Linked DNA regions of Sus scrofa. The protein of the gene in region 1 purifies or fractionates together with the protein of each later gene. This does not show direct contact. Links are inferred from orthologs where the notes say so. Each region holds a gene or a part of one and is shown on either strand. Other genes may lie near its edges. The genes, in order: ANKRD28 and ARHGEF2.

Evidence for each region.
Region 2: the proteins of ANKRD28 (region 1) and ARHGEF2 purify together in Homo sapiens (affinity purification with mass spectrometry; 3 studies listed by BioGRID and IntAct, with this or other methods). This does not show direct contact. The link is inferred for Sus scrofa from reciprocal best matches to the Homo sapiens genes ANKRD28 and ARHGEF2.

The regions. Positions count from the first base shown.
Region 1 is NC_010455.5:2,928,501-2,932,315, reverse strand, and holds part of ANKRD28 (serine/threonine-protein phosphatase 6 regulatory ankyrin repeat subunit A), read left to right. Parts: intron 1-263; coding exon 264-346; intron 347-795; coding exon 796-878; intron 879-2,052; coding exon 2,053-2,144; intron 2,145-3,815. UniProt on the Homo sapiens protein: Regulatory subunit of protein phosphatase 6 (PP6) that may be involved in the recognition of phosphoprotein substrates. Involved in the PP6-mediated dephosphorylation of NFKBIE opposing its degradation in response to TNF-alpha.
Region 2 is NC_010446.5:94,074,646-94,078,460, forward strand, and holds part of ARHGEF2 (rho guanine nucleotide exchange factor 2), read left to right. Parts: intron 1-953; coding exon 954-1,154; intron 1,155-1,549; coding exon 1,550-1,669; intron 1,670-1,798; coding exon 1,799-1,866; intron 1,867-2,004; coding exon 2,005-2,040; intron 2,041-2,248; coding exon 2,249-2,299; intron 2,300-2,507; coding exon 2,508-2,951; intron 2,952-3,198; coding exon 3,199-3,385; intron 3,386-3,815. UniProt on the Homo sapiens protein: Activates Rho-GTPases by promoting the exchange of GDP for GTP.

The DNA.
Region 1 (3,815 bases):
ATTCCAGACCACTTAAAACAGTGTTTGAAATTTAGTAAGCACTCACAAAATGAATGTTAGTTGCTTTGTTCATGTCTGTTGCTTACACAAGAGTATGCCAATATAGTATATACCTTTACATTACAATGGGTTTTTTGTGTGTGTGCTTAAGTTTTTGCTAGAGGGATATTTTTCCTTTCTGTCTTCATTTCTCTACAGTGAGTTATTAGTAATCTGAGCTATATGTTCATAAACAAAAGAGTTGATAGAATTTTTCCTCCCAGAGATGCTGGTTAGCAGTGCTAGTGCAGATCTGACTTTACAAGATAACAGTAAAAACACCGCCCTCCATTTGGCTTGCAGCAAGGTATGTACACATCTTAAGGGTATGTTTTCATTGTTAATATCAACAGTGGCATTTAAATTTTTTCCACTTAACTAAAATGAACAGAGCTAGGAACCAGTCCTCTCTTATAATCACTGGCATCAGATTTCTTGGGGGAGCTGGGGAATGCTGACTTATTAAGCACCATGCAATGTGAAAGTTTCCAGGCAGCAGCCAAGTAAATTTTGGAGCACAGGCCTAAATGTAATTATTGTCTTTCTCTATTCTTAAATATTCTTGTACTCTTAACTAAGCCCATTACACCAGTGCATGTTTGGACAGATATTTAAGGCATTAGCTAAGAAAATGCATGGCCTGTGTATGGTGATGTACATGCTTTATGGACTAGGGTTGAATTGTTTTTAGTGTATAAATATCTTTTATATCTTTAATGGTGCCCACATTTTAAGAGTTATTTGCCATCATTTTAGGGTCATGAAACTAGTGCCTTGTTAATACTGGAAAAGATAACAGATAGAAACCTCATCAATGCAACCAATGCAGCTTTGCAAACGTGAGTACTTTTAGTGTCTAGTGTAAACCATGTGACCCCTAATTAGATGATAAATGGGTTTTTTTTCTAACATGGGACCATTGGAATGAGGCTGTCAATTAAAAAATAAAGGCAGTTTTTATAATTGATAAAGCTTATTTCTTAAAAGCATCACAACTAATAGGCATATTAATAGAAAAGCTTTTGAACTGAAACTTTATTATTGAAAATAATGAGTTATTTCTCAATCCAGTTTTATGGAGGAAAATAATACGACTCTGTGTGTTTTATGGCAGTCAACTGAAATAGTACCTTATTTAACATTAGCAATTAATGAGGTTTAAAGCTTTATTTGTGTCTCTAAGCAGAGAGATTTCAGAAATAATCAAGTTCTTTATGTGAGAAGCCAGCCTCTAGGTGACTGCTTAAATCTTGGGTCACCTTCTCCATATTCCTCTCCCAATTTCCATTTGCTCTTCTGCTTTGAGACTTAGTAAAGAGAAAAATCTTATAAAACTGTTTCCTATTCAGGTACCAGTCAGATCCCTTAAGCGTCCAAAAATGAGTCATGAACTATGAACTGTTTTCAAAGCCTGTTGGAATTTGTGCTATTGCGATTTACAGTTTTTATTATATATTCTATTTATTTTTGTTTTTGTTATGGGGGCCTTGAGGGCGGTTGTTTGGGGGTTTGTTTTTTGTGCTTTTTGGCCATACTCTCGGCATGTGGAAATTCCCAGGCTAGGGATCGGATCCCAGCAGTATCTGTGATCTATACCACAACTGGCGACGCTAGATTCTTAACCCACTGCACCACAGCAGGAACTGTTATTATACGTGTTTGCTAGCCACGTTTCTTAAAACAACTTAGAGTGCAGTTTAGTTAGTAGAATCATTTCAAACATTGAGTCTTAAAGGAAACTTACAAAGGGTTTGGTGAAGGTGGGACTCATTGACGGGTCCAGTGCTGCAGGCAGGGCACATTGATGAGGCACTTGTACGCTGGATCTGCCCTCCCCACTCCCATTTTTGTTGCTGCCAGGACCAGGTGTCTCCACTTTGCATCTTTGAGTCTTCACAACCCAGCAAAAAAAAATGCTCTTCAACTGCCAGGCTTGGGAGAGGGAGAGAGAAGTAATCGTGCACACGTGTAGCCATACAAGTATGTATATATACACGTATTTTCCCCCCCCAGACCTCTGCATGTTGCTGCCCGGAACGGGCTAACAATGGTGGTTCAAGAACTTTTGGGAAAAGGAGCAAGTGTGCTTGCAGTAGATGAAAATGGTAAGTAGTTTCTAATTCACTTTCCTTAACCTGTGAGAAGCTTTTATCTTTGAGTGATCCATATTTGAAGTAAAACAGATGTGGCTAGCTTTTATTGGTCAACGAGGAGAGCTGAAGTTAATATTAAATAGGACTGACTTTGTGCAAAAGGCATAAGGACAAAGAACAGGAAAAGTCCATTCAAAAGATGAACCTCTGAGTTTCACATATTTATTAAATCAGAGTGTGTCAACTTTCATGTTAGTTATATCACTGTTGATTATCTTAGTATTCAACAGATTTCTTCTGTCAACAAATATTTTTCAAGGCCCTTACTTAATTGCAGATTTTATCTAAAACTAATCTTCCTATTTATGCACTAGATCTCTTTTGCCTACTCGAGACTACCACTTTAGAAGTTCTTTGATTTTGTGTCCTGTGGTAATGATTTTTTTTTGTAGGAATCTTTCCAGATTCATCCCATCAGGATAAAAACATTATTTCTCTCATCTTAAATATTTTATTAATCCCACTCCTTCTGCCAGCTCTTCCCGTGCTTCTCTGTTACACTTACTATCACAGTTACTCAAGGGTTGGCTCTCCCACTGTCCGCAATTCTTCTTTTCCTTCTCTGCCAAATCCCCTCTGGCCAGACCTCACCCCCACGGTACCACGGAACCATTCTCATCAATATCACCAGTGACTAATGCAGTGTTAGGTTTCAATTCTTAGTTTCCCTTTTACTTGACATGTCAGAATTTGACACAACTAGTTGTTCCTTCTTTAAAAATAGGAATAGGCTTTTAAAGTGGAATCGAAAATGTACATGAATAAAGACTGTGCAAGTTGTAGTCTACCATAGCTAGTGTCCAATATTCCCCCAAATCACTGTGCTACACACTGTTCCTTGGATCAGTAGGTGCACATCATTTGAGGAGAGTCAAGAAGTATATGTGGTTTGATTATAACGTACTATGTGAATGTCTAAGACACGTGTCTAGAACTGAGCAGCTCATCCTTTCTCCCCCCTCTGTGGAGTGGGTTCTCCCCACAGCTGTCCTAAGCTCAGCTGAAGACAAGTCCTATCCTTACAGTTGCTCAGGACAAAAACCTTGAGTCATCCTCGACCCTCTGTCACACCAGGGTACAATCTGCCAGCATATTGCTGTTGAGCCACCTCCAGAGTATATTCAAAATAGGCCCCTTCTTTTTCCTCTCTTCCTACCACCCTGGCTGGGATCCTTTTAAAAAACATGAGGAGATACTACTCGGAGTCTCAGTTCACTGATAATCCTTAAATGACCTCCTGCGCCCTATTGGATCAGTCTGTGGCCCGTTACCCTTCTCACCTCATCTCATCCTCTCCTGCCCCATCTCCCTCTACCACGCCGGCTCCTCACACCGGGACATGCATGCGTGATCCTCTTTGTTCTGGCTGTTTCCTCTACTCAGAACACTCTGCCCCCAACAGTCTTACTAAATCCTTCACCTGTTTGAAGTTTCGTCTTCTCAATGAAGGCCATCCTGACTACCCTTTTTGTACTACAGCCGCTGCACACCCCACTGTATCCTCTTTCTCAGTTAACCTGCTCTGCTCCTTCCTCGTTCTCTTTTTCCATAGAGCTTATCTTCTAACATTGTTTATAATTTGCTTTTTTAATTATCTTGGGTGTCTCCTCCACTAGAATAAAT
Region 2 (3,815 bases), on another chromosome or scaffold:
ACTAGTCAGATTTGTTTCCATTGTGCCATGACAGGAACTCCAAGAGTTTCTTTTAAAAGCTGATCTGGAAGAGATATCCGTTGGCCAGAATTCAGTCACATGGCAATGCCCAGCTGCAAGCCAGGCCTGGAAATGGCATCTAATGGGTAGCCATGTGCCCAAGTGAAACTTGTACACATTCTCCCATTAAAGGAAGATGGAGAGAATGAAAACTAGCGGACAGCCTGCAGTCCCTGCCACGATAGTTTTACTTTTGTTTTTATTTATTTATTTATTTATTGTCTTTTTGCCTTTTCTAGGGCTGCTCCCTTGACACATGGAGGTTCCCAGGCTAGGGGTCTAATCAGAGCTTTAGCTGCCGGCCTACAACAGAGCCACAGCAATGTGGGATCTGAGCCGTGTCCGTGAGCTGCACCACAGCTCACGGCAATGCCGGATCCTTAACCCACTGAGCAAGGCCAGGGATTGAACCCGCGACCTCATGGTTCCTAGTCGGATTCATTAACCACTGAGCCATGACGGAAACTCCTTACTTTTGTTTTTAAAACAAAAGTGCAGGCGTTCCCACTGTAGCACAACTGGATCAGTGGTGTGTCTGCAGTGCCAAGACGCAGGTTCAATCCTGGGCTGGCACAGTGGGTGAAAGGATCCAGCATACTGCCGCTGTGGCATAGATCACAGCTATGGTTGAGATCTGATCCCTGGCCCAGGTATTCCATATGCTCTAGAGTGGCCAAAAAAAGAAAACAAGCAAACGAACCCCAAAAGTATATGGTTACTTTTACTTTTCCCCCCAAAATGTTCTTTTCTTTTTTGTAAATGCCAAAAAGCCAAAATTAAGTGCTGCCACTGTGCCCAGGCCTGGCTCCTAACCCCTAGGGCTGCCTCCTGACTACTGGCTCTCCTGGGTGCCCCCAGGCCCATCTGTGTGCTCACCTGTTTCTCATCCACAGTGGAGCTGCAGCAGAAAGACCGGGCACTGGTGGAGCTGCTGCAGGAGAAAGTTGGGCTGTTTGCCGAGATGACCCATTTCCAGGTGGAAGAGGATGGCGGTGGTGGGATGCCCCTGCCCACTCTGCCCAGGGGCCTTTTCCGCTCTGAGTCCCTTGAGTCACCTCGTGGCGAGCGGCTGCTGCAGGATGCCATCCGTGAGGGTGAGGGAGCGCCCAGGGAAGAGCCCAGACTCGTCCCCTCACTGTCATGGCATACGGACACATGGCTAGACCTGGACACACATGGGCAAGGGGGAGGCCAGCCCCATAGTCTACAACTCCCCTGAGCACCTGCTCTGTGCCAGGGGCTGGGGATGGCGGGGAAGAGGCACGGTCCTTGCTGCTGTTGACACCTCTCATCCTGCATGCCTCCTGTGCTACTCCTTGAGCATCTTTAATGACTTTTGCCTCGTACGTGGCCATGGCAGTGAGACCCCACTGCCTGTGCAGGGGGCAGTCCCCTAGATGTCTGCATTCTGGTATCCTGGGTGAATGCCGTCCCGCCGCTCACTGGATTCTCTGCTTCTCCTTTCTCACCGCTCCCTCTTTCCCCTCAGTGGAGGGCCTGAAAGACCTGCTGGTGGGGCCTGGAGTGGAGCTGCTCTTGACTTCCCGGGAACCAGCCCTACCCGTGGAAACGGACAGTGGTGGTAACACGAGTCCTGGGGTCACTGCCAGTGAGTACCAGGGCAGGGGACCAAGGTAGCAGGTGGGCAGGGTTAAAGAGAAGGGAGTGGTACCAAGGACCGAGCAGTGCCAGGGCCCTAGGAAAGTGAGCTGGGCCCATCTTTTCCCCTTCTCGACAGATGGCGAGGCCAGAACCTTCAATGGCTCGATAGAGCTCTGCAGAGCTGACTCAGACTCCAGCCAGAAGGTGGGTCTCAGGAGGTGTCAGGACTTGGCTAGGGGGCGGGAAAGGAACAGCTGGCCTATAGATCCTGACACAGAGCTCTCAGGGACAGGCCCCGGGAAGTTGTGTCTGCTGATTCCCCATCCTTGCCTGTTTCTGCAGGATCGAAATGGAAACCAGCTGAGATCTCCCCAGGAGGTGAGACGGGGATGTGACGGTATAGGAGACTGAAGGGAGGGGTATTCTCATCTGAGAAACTGGAGCCCGGTTTGGAGTGCATGGGGGAGAGCGTACACCTCCAAGTACCTGCAGTCTTATTTTCCCCACCCCCACACTTAATTGACTTCCGGGCAGTTGTTCCATCCTGAAGCTTGGACTCTGTTCCCACCCTCTCTTCTGTCCTCAGGAAGCGTTGCAGCGATTGGTCAATCTCTATGGACTTCTTCATGGCCTACAGGTCAGTGGGGTGAGGGCTAGAACGGGAAGGAGAGGTGCCTGACCAGGGCTGCCCATCTAAGTGGGGCACGATCACCCTAACAGACCTTTGTAAGCCTTCCCCTGATTCGAGGCCTACAGGAATCCTGACCTGGGCCCTGAGGAGGGAGGGCAGGGGATAGAAGAAACGGGGAATTCTGATACACCATCCATCCCCATTCCACCCCCAGGCGGCTGTGGCCCAGCAGGACACTTTGATGGAAGCTCGGTTCCCTGAGGGTCCTGAGCGGCGGGAGAAGCTGACCAGAGCCAACTCCCGGGATGGGGAGGCTGGCAGAGCCGGGGCTGCCCCTGTGGCTCCTGAAAAGCAGGCTACAGAACTGGCATTACTGCAACGGCAACACGCACTGTTGCAAGAGGAGCTTCGGCGCTGCCGGCGGCTTGGTGAAGAGCGGGCGACGGAGGCTGGCAGCCTGGAAGCCCGGCTCCGGGAAAGCGAGCAGGCCCGAGCTCTGCTGGAGCGGGAGGTCGAAGAGGCTCGCAGGCAGTTGGCCGCCTTGGGCCACACGGAACCACTCCCGGCTGAGGCCCCCTGGGCCCGCAGGCCTCTGGATCCGAGGCGTCGTAGCCTCCCTGCAGGCGATGCCCTGTACTTGAGTTTCACTCCCCCACAGGTAAGGAAGCTTGGAATAGTGACCTGACTTGGGGTGGACTTCAGGCTCCACGAGAGAACCTGAAAGGAATTGGAGACTTGAGCCCAAGTGAACTCAGGCATCAGGCTTGATGGATATTAGAGTACTGATGGGAAGACTGAACTATTTAGACAGGGACAGAAAGAAATCAGTCAGTAGTAGATGTACCAAGAGAGTCTTCGAACTGCTCATTCCCTGGCCTCCTGCTTTTCCTACCTGCCGTCCACAGCCCAGCCGAGGCCACGACCGCCTGGATTTGCCTGTGACTATTCGCTCAGTCCATCGACCCTTCGAGGATCGAGAGAGGCAGGAGCTGGGCAGCCCTGATGAGCGGCTGCAAGATAGCAGTGACCCTGACACCGGCAGCGAGGAGGAAGGTAGCAGCAGCCGTCTGTCTCCGCCACATAGTCCACGAGGTGAGACCCTGGTGGCCACATGGAATAGAAGGAGGTGCGACCTGGGTACAGACCCTTGAGCCATGGTCTCCAAACGGAGCCTGCATCGTAGAGCACAGAAACATTTAGGATGGTCCCTAACCAAACACCAAGGTCTACAGCAACTCCTGGAGGGGCACAGGGCACTTCCTGTTTTGTCTGCTGGTAAATGGGCAGGGGAACTCTAGGAAACAAAAAATGTAGGGGCTCTGTTCCAGCAAGTCCATGATTCCAGCCTCTGCAAGTAGAAATAGATTTTTTTTTTTTTTTGGTCTTTTTAGAACCACACCCACAGTATATGGAGGTTCCCAGGCTAGAGGTTGAATGTGAGCTGCAGCTGCCAGCCTATACCATGGCCACAGCAACACCGGATCCAAGCCTGTCTGTGACCTACATCACAGGTCATGGCAAT